3 linked regions of the Macaca fascicularis genome follow. The protein of the gene in region 3 purifies or fractionates together with the protein of the main gene of each other region. This does not show direct contact. Links are inferred from orthologs where the notes say so. Each region holds a gene or a part of one and is shown on either strand. Other genes may lie near its edges. The genes, in order: ACVRL1, TGFBR2 and ENG.

What was found.
Region 1: the proteins of ENG (region 3) and ACVRL1 purify together in Homo sapiens (affinity purification with western blotting; 3 studies listed by BioGRID and IntAct, with this or other methods). This does not show direct contact. The link is inferred for Macaca fascicularis from reciprocal best matches to the Homo sapiens genes ENG and ACVRL1.
Region 2: the proteins of ENG (region 3) and TGFBR2 purify together in Homo sapiens (affinity purification with western blotting; 3 studies listed by BioGRID). This does not show direct contact. The link is inferred for Macaca fascicularis from reciprocal best matches to the Homo sapiens genes ENG and TGFBR2.

Annotation. Positions count from the first base shown.
Region 1 is NC_088385.1:58,748,280-58,752,552, forward strand, and holds the start of ACVRL1 (activin receptor type-1-like), read left to right. Parts: upstream 1-1,334; 5' UTR 1,335-1,529; coding exon 1,530-1,917; intron 1,918-2,119; coding exon 2,120-2,331; intron 2,332-2,533; coding exon 2,534-2,633; intron 2,634-2,995; coding exon 2,996-3,142; intron 3,143-3,743; coding exon 3,744-4,019; intron 4,020-4,273. UniProt on the Homo sapiens protein: Type I receptor for TGF-beta family ligands BMP9/GDF2 and BMP10 and important regulator of normal blood vessel development. On ligand binding, forms a receptor complex consisting of two type II and two type I transmembrane serine/threonine kinases.
Region 2 is NC_088376.1:17,786,270-17,789,914, reverse strand, and holds part of TGFBR2 (TGF-beta receptor type-2), read left to right. Parts: intron 1-111; coding exon 112-280; intron 281-3,645. UniProt on the Homo sapiens protein: Transmembrane serine/threonine kinase forming with the TGF-beta type I serine/threonine kinase receptor, TGFBR1, the non-promiscuous receptor for the TGF-beta cytokines TGFB1, TGFB2 and TGFB3.
Region 3 is NC_088389.1:16,176,982-16,180,361, forward strand, and holds part of ENG (endoglin), read left to right. Parts: intron 1-897; coding exon 898-1,035; intron 1,036-1,272; coding exon 1,273-1,311; intron 1,312-2,102; coding exon 2,103-2,219; intron 2,220-2,555; coding exon 2,556-2,813; intron 2,814-3,380. UniProt on the Homo sapiens protein: Vascular endothelium glycoprotein that plays an important role in the regulation of angiogenesis. Required for normal structure and integrity of adult vasculature. Regulates the migration of vascular endothelial cells.

The sequences.
Region 1 (4,273 bases), on a different chromosome or scaffold from region 3:
TCCACCCACCCTTTCCTAGATGGCAAGGGGAGAGAAGGGGGCCAGGGAATGACTCTGAGAGGGCAGCTTATACTCTGGTGAGCTTGCAGAGAGGTTCCTCTACACCTGGCATGACCCGGCGCCATCCAAGCTTTGCGTGGTTGTTACAGCCTGAGGGCTCAGACATGGGCTGCCACCACTGGATAGGGACAGTGTGGGGAGAGCACTTGACTAGGAGTCTGGAAGCCTGGGTTGTACTCCTGCTGGTGCCAGTGAGTCCTGTCTGACCCGGGACAAGTCTTCTTCCCTGTATAAGCCTTAATCCTTTCTTCTGTAAAACAAGGAGCTGGATTTTGTGATCCACCTAGAATTCTGTCATGTGGGTGTCCCAGGCACAAGGAACTAAGGGTAGCAAGGAACTAAGGGCATATTTAAATAGCCTCTCCAGACCCTATGGCTGCTGCAGCCCACCCTGAAAATATGCCCTTAGATCCCTGCTGTGCGTGACTCCTGCCTGTTCTATCCAGACCCCAATCTAAACAATCTTGATTCCTGTTCCTGGCTTGGCAGGACCCTGAATGGCAGGAAGTGAAGACAGGAGCCTGTTTATGTTTGAGGCAGCCAGGGCTGGGGGGGCACTGGGAAAGGGTAGGCAGGGGTGAAGGCTGTGAGGGTGTGGGAAAGAGACACAGAACAGAAGGGGAGCTGCTGGAGAGATGCTCCTTCTACCCCAACTGGGTGCTCCCTGCGCCTCTCCCAACCTGCCTCCAGTCTGAGCTCAGCAGCAGGGGTGCAGAGCTAGGGTTTCCCCAAGCTCTCGGTCACTTAAACATGGCTCTCCACCCTTCACCTCTAACAGGATGGTTTCCATGGGGAAGTGAACCAGGACTTCCCTTGCAGGCCCCGCCCCAAAGCTAGGCGGCAGGGAGTAGGGAGGCGGCCTCCCTGCCTCCCCTCCAAAAAAAACTCTCTGTGATTTCCTCTGGGCGGGAGGGAGCCACAGCTGGCGGCTGTCACATTTTGCAGCTCTTACTCCACCTCTCTTGCTCCTCTCTGCAGGGACCATGACCTTGGGCTCCCCGAGGAGAGGCCTTCTGATGCTGCTGATGGCCTTGGTGACCCAGGGTGAGTACTGGGGGAGCAGTTAGGAAACAGGAACCTGGATAGAGAAAGGGCTATCTGGGCCCAGATCAGCTCTGCCTGGGGCTGAACTTGAGAAACTGGGGAGAATTTAGGAGCTTGACTGGAGAATAGAGGAGAGTGAGGCTCCATTAAACTCAGCCCCCAGTTACCCCAGCCCTCCTTTGCTCTCCTCTGGGTCCAGACCTGCAGGCTGGAGCTCTGTCAGGCTAGGGTGGAAGCCTATATGTGGGGCGGAGGGAGAGCAGGTGTTGGCAGGCCAAGCCTGGGAGCGCTCTCAGGACTGGGGCTGGGGGCGCAGCCCAGCCTAGAACTGGGAGGGGAGAACCTAGGAGCCAGGAGGGGACAGAAGCCTGCTTCTCAGTGTCAGCTGCCCTGAGGGGAGGGCTCTGAGGGAAGGATGACTGAGGATGGAAGTAAGGGACCAAAGCTTCAAGGTGTTTGTCTGGGGGGTCAGACGAGAGGGACAATGGGACAGAAATGGGTGTCAGGCTCAGCCTGGGGGAGCTGGGCCCAGAGTGGCTGAGCTTCCGGTGTGTCTCCCAGGTGACCCCGTGAAGCCCTCTCGGGGCCCGCTGGTGACCTGCACATGTGAGAGCCCACATTGCAGGGGGCCTACCTGCCAGGGGGCCTGGTGCACAGTAGTGCTGGTGCGGGAGGAGGGGAGGCACCCCCAGGAACATCGGGGCTGCGGGAACTTGCACAGGGAGCTCTGCAGGGGGCGCCCCACCGAGTTCGTCAACCACTACTGCTGTGACAGCCACCTCTGCAACCGCAACGTGTCCCTGGTGCTGGAGGGTACGTCCAGCTGCCCCAGCACTCCCTCCCCATCTTCTCGGCCCCTGCCCTCCCTTCCCTCCTTTCCTCTCATGCTCTGGCCAATAAAGGGGCTGGGGGCGGGGGGACGGGCAAGACTCTGGGATTTAACTGGCAGAATGGTCTGCCCAAGGTGGGGGAAGTTGACCTAGTGCAAGCTGAGCCTCAATGTCCCCTCCCCCAGCCACCCAAACTCCTTCGGAGCAGCCGGGAACAGACAGCCAGCTGGCCCTGATCCTGGGCCCCGTGCTGGCCTTGCTGGCCCTGGTGGCCCTGGGTGTCGTGGGCCTGTGGCATGTCCGACGGAGGCAGGAGAAGCAGCGGGGCCTGCACAGCGAGCTGGGAGAGTCCAGTCTCATCCTGAAAGCATCTGAGCAGGGCGACAGCATGTTGGGGGTACGGGCCTGGGGACCTGGGACACAGGGTGGAGTGGGGCAGATAGCAACTGCGGAATCAGAGGGGTCATCCAGAGAGTAGAGCCGGTGGGGAGCTGGGCGAGTGAGGAGCTTGCAGTGACCCAGCAGGTCCCAGGTTGAGGATGGAGAATGGGGCTGCGGCTGGTTAGGGCAGCTTTTGAGTGGCCTCTCCATACCCCCAGGACCTCCTGGACAGTGACTGCACCACAGGGAGTGGCTCGGGGCTCCCCTTCCTGGTGCAGAGGACAGTGGCACGGCAGGTTGCCTTGGTGGAGTGTGTGGGTGAGCAGTGGGTGAGCCCGGTGGATGAGGACCAAGGGCTCTCATGAGCCTTGAGGGGTGAGGGAGTTCTTGGCTTCCGGAATCACAGGCAGTGCCAGGCCTGGGTCAGAACTGGAATTCTGCTGGGCAGGGAGTGGGCTGGAGACGGGCCAGGGCTAGGTTCTTTCTGCAGGACCGGGGTGGAACGAGAGGCAGCTGGGGGTGGCCTGCCGCTGGGTTTGGGTCTGGATTAACTTAAACCTAAGGGTCAGGGGTTCTGTGGGTGGGGTGGGCGAGGGAGGCAGCACAGCATCAAGATGAGGGGCTCCTCCAGGGCTCTGTGTGCCCAGTGTGTAACCCTCACCTTCCCCTCTGGCCATCAGGAAAAGGCCGCTATGGCGAAGTGTGGCGGGGCTTGTGGCACGGTGAGAGTGTGGCCGTCAAGATCTTCTCCTCGAGGGACGAACAGTCCTGGTTCCGGGAGACTGAGATCTACAACACAGTGTTGCTCAGACACGACAACATCCTAGGCAAGGGGAGGGGCCGGCTGTGCCAGGCCTGGGGCTTTGCCCTCCTGCACTCAGGGCTCGAATTCACAGACCTCCAGACATTAACAGAACCCTGAAGGACTCCCAGCCCACCTGCAGCACCAACCTCTTTTTTTTTTTTTTTTTGAGACAGGGCCTCGCTCTGTCACCCAGGCTGGGATGCAGTTGTGCAATCTCACTGGAACCTCAATCTCTTGAGCTCAAGCGATCCTCCCACTTCAGCCTCTTGAGTAGCTGGGACCACAGGCATGTGCCACCATGCCCAGCTAACTTTTTTATTTTTTGTAGAGACGAGGTCTCCCTATGTTGCCCAGACTGGTCTCAAATTCCTGGGCTCAAGCAATCCTCCTGCCTTGGCCTCCCAAAGTGTTGGGGTTACAGGTGCAAGCCACTAAGCCAGGCCCAGACCCAACCTCTGACTCCAGCTCTGTCTCTGACCTAAGCCACATCAACCCCCACCCCAGACCTTGCTTAGCAGTGACCCAGCCCATTCCCTCTCCCCCGACCCCACCCTGACCCTGACCACTCCAGCCTCCCTTAGCCCCAGCCCCTTGGCTGAGTCACCCGACCCTTCTGTGCACAGGCTTCATCGCCTCAGACATGACCTCCCGCAACTCGAGCACGCAGCTGTGGCTCATCACGCATTACCACGAGCACGGCTCCCTCTACGACTTTCTGCAGAGACAGACGCTGGAGCCGCATTTGGCTCTGAGGCTAGCTGTGTCCGCAGCCTGTGGCCTGGCACACCTGCACGTGGAGATCTTCGGTACACAGGGCAAACCGGCCATTGCCCACCGTGACTTCAAGAGCCGCAACGTGCTGGTCAAGAGCAACCTGCAGTGTTGCATTGCTGACCTGGGTGAGCTGGGCAGGGCAGGGGCAGACCCTTCACAGGTGGGCACAGCCCGTGCTCTCTCCTCTCCTTTGCCTATGGGCGGTGACCATGATTGGCGCTTGAAAACAGAGGTGCATGTTGTCTCAGTTCTCCTCTGCAAGACCGCATGAGTTGTCTGAACACCCTTTTCAAACCAGACTCCTTCCACCATACCATCCTGGCTCCAGGAGTTGGGAGAAAGGAGGCAGGAGCCAGAAACCTGGATTCTCATTCCTGGC
Region 2 (3,645 bases), on a different chromosome or scaffold from region 3:
ATTCATTCCATGACATCAAATTCATTTGAAATTGCGTAACATCTTCAGGAATTCATTGGCAGGCTGCCTGGCAGTTGGATAATGATTTAATATATCTTTCTCTCTCCTCAGTTAACAATGACATGATGGTCACTGACAACAATGGTGCAGTCAAGTTTCCACAACTGTGTAAATTTTGTGATGTGAGATTTTCCACCTGTGACAACCAGAAATCCTGCCTGAGCAACTGCAGCATCACCTCCATCTGTGAAAAGCCACAGGAAGTCTGTGTGGCTGTATGGTAAGAGAGCCTTTGAAGAAGTTATTCTTTCTTTTCCCCTTTTTACATAATGTATTCTCGTAGTACACACAGTCAGTGTATCTCTGTCCCCTAAGTGTAAACACCTGTTCCATTTCCCTTTCCTTTAGACCATCTCTCTTTCGATTATTAAATGTAGTTTCTAGGGTGTTCTCTGCATGTACGTGTACGTTTATATGGGTATGTCATGGTATATAAAACGATCTTTAATATAGTAAATCTGGAAACTCTTTCTTGTATCAAGAAGAGGGATTTGCCACTTAGTAGGCATTTAACCGACACCTCCTCACTACCCCACAGTGAGACCAGGAGCTTTGTTCTCGTGAGGCAATCTCAGGTCTGGAAGAAGACGTGATGAAAGGTTGGCTGTTGGAAAAGACAACCACCTGCCAAAAATGGGGAATCTACTTGGAGAACCAGAAAAACAACCTATTTTTTTAGTCAGAAATCCTGGTTATATCATTCATATAACCATTGGGCTAGGTATGACTTATTTCTCGGCTCAGAACTACATATTTCTTCTTTTTTTTTTTTTTTTTTTTTGAGATGGAGTCTTGCTCTATCACCCAGGCTGGAGTGCAGTGGCACATTCTTGGCTCACCACAACCTCCACCTCCCAGGTTCAAGTGATTCTTCTGCCTCAGCCTCTCAAGTAGCTGGGATTACAGGTGCCCGCTACCACGCCTGGCTAATTTTTGTATTTTTGGTAGAGACGAGGTTTCACCATGTTGGCCAGGCTGGTCTCGAACTCCCAACCTCAGGTGATCCGCTCGCCTCTGCCTCCCAAAGTGCTGGGATTACAGGCATGAGCCACCTTGCCCGACCAGAACTATATATTTTTATTGGATCACATTTTCTACTCTCTCTCTCTCTCTCTCTCATTACCTCCAACTCATATACACATCTCAAATAGTAATTATACATACACAGTGGATACTCATGAATCATCTGATTAATTCATGATTATAGATTGTGAGCATGAACAAGAAATAAACAACCTTGATCTTTAGAAGAGTTGCAATTTTGCAAAACTACATAAATTCATTAATGAGATATGACATTTTGCAGACTTATTCTGATGTTTTTAATTTATTGGCCATTTTTTAAAAAGTAACTTATGTGGCTCCTGACTAGTTGACAAACAAGAATGTAAACCCAAATATCTCTCCCCCTTTTTTGGGAATAAGTCATTTGAGACCCCCAGACCTTGTAAAGCTAGCCTGATGATAGATCTGGAAACTTTACCAATTTCTGTACATACCAGGGGATGAACTGGTTTCTTAAGAAAAACTGAAGGAATGTTAACAGCAAAGACCTGTCATGACGTACTTGCCAATATGATGTGATACCTGTCCATGTCCACTTCTAGGTAACGCTGTCAGAGAAAGGATTTGGACAAAGAGTGTGTTCAGAGGAGAGGGACCAGTGTGGTTAGAGGCCTAGATATCATGCTGTCTGAGGAATGGCCTGGGCAATTAGACGTGGTTAGTGCAGTGAAGGGAGATCATGGGTTCTGCTGATGAAATTGAAAGGCTCCCAGGTAGAAAATCTAATAAACATATTCTGCATAACTCTGAAGGGTAGAGGGAGGATCCGTAACATTGGCAAGAGGGCAGACTTGCGCTCAGCATAAGTTCAGACATTTTCACAATCATGGTTTCCCAACAGCAGAACAGGCTTCCTTTTCTGTAAGCACCAAGTGAAGTTCAGGAGGGGCTAGATGACCATGTGTCAAATAGATTGCAGGAAAGATTGAGACACCAGACTAGATGGCCTCAAAGCTTCCTTCCGTGGTTTCTCAAATATCTACGGTGGTGTGAGCGCTTACTTCTGCCACCCAAAAAGGCTCTTTTAATTAAGATTTTTGTTTTTCTGACCAGTAATACAAGCCCAAATCATTGAATGTGAATCAAGTCTCTCTACAATAGAGGCTTTGCTAGCCTCAAAAAAATGTGAGCATGTCGAAGAGAGGAGGCCTCCCTGTTTTTTCTGTGTCCCAGCTACAAAGGATAAATACAGTGAACATTATTTTGACCTGTCTTGGCCAAAGAAAGTTCTCCTGTGAAGCCAGGGCTGTTGCTAATGAGAAGGGGAAGTGTAGGGGATGCTATAGTGCCCTCCTTGATCCTCCTTCATGACCAAGGCACTCACTCCCTGGGAGTGTTGGCTGTTGAAGGTTCACTGCTGAGTCTTCCCTCCAGTGATGGGAGCTGCTTCATTCACGTTGGACACTTTTCATGGGTATCCAGCATCCCATGGCTAGTTGATGCAGAGAAACACATTCCTGGTTATTTTGCCGTAATGTGGGACATCTTTGAAGGACCGTCTCACGTTCAGAGCTTCCAAGGCATTCACTGAGGCCTTTGCTGCAACCTGCATTATGGCTTAGCTTTTTCCTTCTGTGCAATACTGCTGCCTTTAGTCCCTTACAGATGCATCTCCAAAAACCTCCTGCTCAGAACTCACAGCCTCAAGGTCTGTTTCCAGGAAACCTAAACTAAGACAGGAGGCTACTGTAAAAATAGCCAGTGTGGAAACCGAAAGGCTCTACTATGATTGTAGATTTCAGTGGGGTTTTTTTTTTTTGATCAGTGTTAGTGTTTTTTTCATTCATTCATTCATTCATTCATTTAACTAATGTCAGTTGTGTGCCCATTCCATGTAAAATGCTTAAGCTTCTTCCAAGGATAGAAATATTTTATAACCAAAGTTATTATTATTATTATTATTATTGAGAGGGGGTCTCCCACTGTTGCCCTGACTGGAGTATAATAGCGTGATCTTGGCTCACAGCAACATCCGCCTTGTGGGTTCATGAGATTCTCCTGCCTCAGCTTCCCAAGTAGCTGGGATTACAGGCGCACACCACTATCACCCGGCTAATTTTTTTGTATTTTTAGTAGAGATGGGGTTTCACTGTGTTGGCCAGGCTGGTCTCCAACTCCTGACTGTGTGATCCACCTGCCTCGGCCTCCCAAAGTACTGCGATTACAGGCATGAGCCACCATGCTCAGCCTCCAAAATTAATTTTATCATGTTGGTTCTTCTTTCAGTGGAAATTGATAACCTCTTCAATGGCTAAGAGTAAATGTTGTGGGACAAAAAAAGTCCGTATTTACTTCTTTGTGTTTACCTTTCCTATGCTCAGCTGTATCCAAAAAGGGTTTGAAAAGTTAGCTGTGCCTGGCTGTTAAAACAGGAGTGAGTGGAGAAGGCAGTTAAGGACTTTACTGGGTCTCAAGTGTTACAGTTGTTTTCTCTCTGTGATTTTAGTTCTCTAAGTAGCTAAGAGGTGGAAAACCAGAGGCTCTGGAAGAGCTGCCCAATAATGATAGAGCAGCTTTCTT
Region 3 (3,380 bases):
GTGAAACCCCGTCTCTACTAAAAATACAAAAAATTAGCCGGGCGTGGTGGCGGGCGCCTGTAGTCCCAGCTACTCGGGAGGCTGAGACAGGAGAATGGCGTGACCCCGGGAGGCAGAGCTTGCAGTGAGCCGAGATCGCGCCACTGCACTCCAGCCTGGGCGACAGGGCAAGACTCCGTCTTAAAAAAAAAAAAAAGAAGAAGAAGAAGAAGAAGAAAATTTGTGATCCAACAGCTATTATTGCTTAGGACAAGGCTTAGTGCAAAAGTGTGCAAGTTCAAGAAGTCTTAAGTGGGCCAGGCATGGTGGCTCACATCTGTAATCCCAGCACTTTGGGAGGCCAAGGTGGGTGGATTGCCTGAGGTCCGGAGTTCAAGACCAGCCTAGCCAGCATGGTGAAACCTCGTCTCTACTAAAAATACAAAAAATGGCCGGGTACGGTGGCTCACGCCTGTAATCCCTGCACTGGGAAGTTGAGGCAGGTGGATCACCTGAGGTCAGGAGTTTGAGACCAGCCTGGCCAACATGGTGAAATCCTATCTACTAAAAATACAAAAAATTAGCTGGGCATGGTGGCACGCGCCTGTAATCCCAGCAACTCAGGAGGCCAAGGCAAGAGAATCGCTTGAACCCAGGAGGTGGAGGTTGCAGTGAGCCAAGATCAAGCCACTGCACTCCAGCCTGGGCAACAAGAGTGAGACTCCGTCTCAAAAAAAAAAAAAAAAAGAAATTTTAAGTGGTGTAGGATGATGACATCTAACAAAAATGAAGAGGGAGCAGGGCAGGGGAATGGCTGTGACTTGGGAGCCCTGGGTTGTGGTCAGTCCTTGGTGCTGGGGTGTGGCAGGCCACAGAGACCCCAGTGCCTCCTGACGGTGCCCCTCTCTCCCAACCCAGCATTTGAAGTGCACCATCATGGGCCTGACCCTCTGGGACCCCAGCTGTCAGGCCGAGGACAGGGGTGACCAGTTTGTCCTGCACAGCGCTTACTCCAGCTGTGGCATGGAAGTGACGGCGAATATGATCAGCAATGAGGTAAGAGCTGGGGCCAGAAAGGTATCAGGACCAGCCTGGTTGGTGCCCCCTCAAGTGCCTCCCTGATCCCCCAGGGCGGAGGTGTGTTTGGGAGAGCAGGGTGCAGAGGCTCAGAACATAAGACAAGCTTGGCCACTGGTTGGCTCAGTCTCCCCATCTGCAAAATGGGTGTATTGGGTGGGATACCCTCTGGGGTCCTTTCTGGCTCTGACCAGCTCCCTGGCTTTGTCCTCGCAGGTGGTGGTCAATATCCTGTCGAGCTCATCACCACAGCGGGTAAGATGGACAGTCACGTGCTAACCCACCTGGCCCAGGGGCTGCTGCTGGGCCGGGGCCTCTTCCTGGCTTGGGAGGGAGTAGGCTTCAGGAAACTCCTGGCAAGCCATGTGTCTGGCATCGGTCTCCCGTTCTATATGAGCGGAGCAGGACTGCTGAGGGTGACGCTCTCAGTCTCTCAAGTCAGAGGTCTTAGCACATACTGGCTGTGTGGCCTTGGGCAAGTCACTTTAGTTTTCTGGGCCCAAAGGTGGCCTAAGAAAGGACTCTGCGCCAAAGGGTGCCTCTGGGCAGCCAGTGAGGTGCCGTGTGGAAGCTCTTCACACAGCCTGGCAACTGCTGCCTCCTTGATAAATATTAGTTAAAAAAAAAAAAAAAAAGGGCCGGGCGTGGTGGCTCAAGCCTGTAATCCCAGCACTTTGGGAGGCCGAAATGGGTGGATCACGAGGTCAGGAGATCGAAACCAGCCAGGCTAACACGGTGAAACCCTGTCTCTACTAAAAAATACAAAAAACTAGCCAGGCGAGGTGGTGGGCGCCTGTAGTCCCAGCTACTTGGGAGGCTGAGGCAGGAGAATGGCATGAACCTGGGAGGCGGAGCTTGCAGTGAGCTGAGATCCGGCCACTGCACTCCAGCCTGGACCACAGAGTGAGACTCTGTCTCAAAAAAAAAAAAAAAAAAAGATGAGTCAGGCAACTCCACAGGGCCATGACGTCTGTTCCTCCCCACACCCCTCGCCCTCCTGGCTGGTGCCGCCGGACTGACCAAGTCTCCCTCCCGTCCTCCCCCAGAAAAAGGTGCACTGCCTCAACATGGACAGCCTCTCTTTCCAGCTGGGCCTCTACCTCAGCCCACACTTCCTCCAGGCCTCCAACACCATCGAGCCGGGGCAGCAGAGCTTTGTGCAGGTACCTGGCATGCCTGTCACCCCTCGGGCCTCCCAGCTCCTGCAACTTCCTCTCTGCCTTTCTTCCCACCATGACTCCAGAGGAGATGAGAATCCCAGAGTCAGGAGGGAGACGGCCTGGGTGCGTGGGAGAGGGAGACAGAGAAGGCATTGCTCAGGGATGCTGACAAGGATGTGGCCCTGTCCTCCTCCTCTGACCCACACAGGTCCATGCCTTTCCTTCCACCGTGAGGACTCAGGGGTGGGAACTCTTCATTCTAGCCGATATTTCAAGGCAGCAGGTGGGGTGGGGTGAAGAGCAGCTGCCCATGCCTCGTGGCCCTACCTACCCATGCAGGTCAGAGTGTCCCCATCCATCCCCGAGTTCCTGCTCCAGCTAGACAGCTGCCACCTGGACTTGGGGCCTGAGGGAGGCACCATGGAACTCATCCAGGGCCGGGCGGCCAAGGGCAACTGTGTGAGCCTGCTGTCCCCAAGCCCCGAGGGTAACCCGCGCTTCAGCTTCCTCCTCCACTTCTACACAGTACCCATACCCAAAACCGGCACCCTCAGCTGCACTATAGCCCTGCGTCCCAAGACCGGGTCCCAAGACCAGGTGAGTGGAGCCTGGGCCGGCCCCAGCTTCAAGTGGGAGCTTCTAGGTCTGTGGTTTGCAGGAAAGGACATGGCAGCCCACAGGGATGTGGGGCCAGCTGGTGAGGGGCAGAGCCTTAGTCAGGCATGTCACCTGGCAGTCTGGCTGCCAGCAGCACTTTCTGCCACCCGAGAGCTTTCTGGTGGGATTGCCATGTCTTGGGCACTGGCAGACTATGCAGCTGCCAGACTATGCAGCTGCCAGACTATGCAGCTGCAACTGTCCATCTATCCATCATCTATCCTTCCACTTATTCACCCGTCCGTCCATCCATCCATCCACCCTCCCACCCACCTGCCATCCCAGCCAGGCATCCACCATCTTCCCACCATCCCACCATCCCACCCAGGAATCTAGCCACCCACACATCCATGTAGTATGGTCACCAGTGTAATGTCAAAGAACAGGAGACCCGAGGGAAGAGGCAGACAAAGGACACACACTCCTGGCTTTCTGTATTTGCCAGTCACAACACTTCACCATCTGGTGACCCCCACTCTCAGGCAATCTGTCCTGGATACCCCCAGA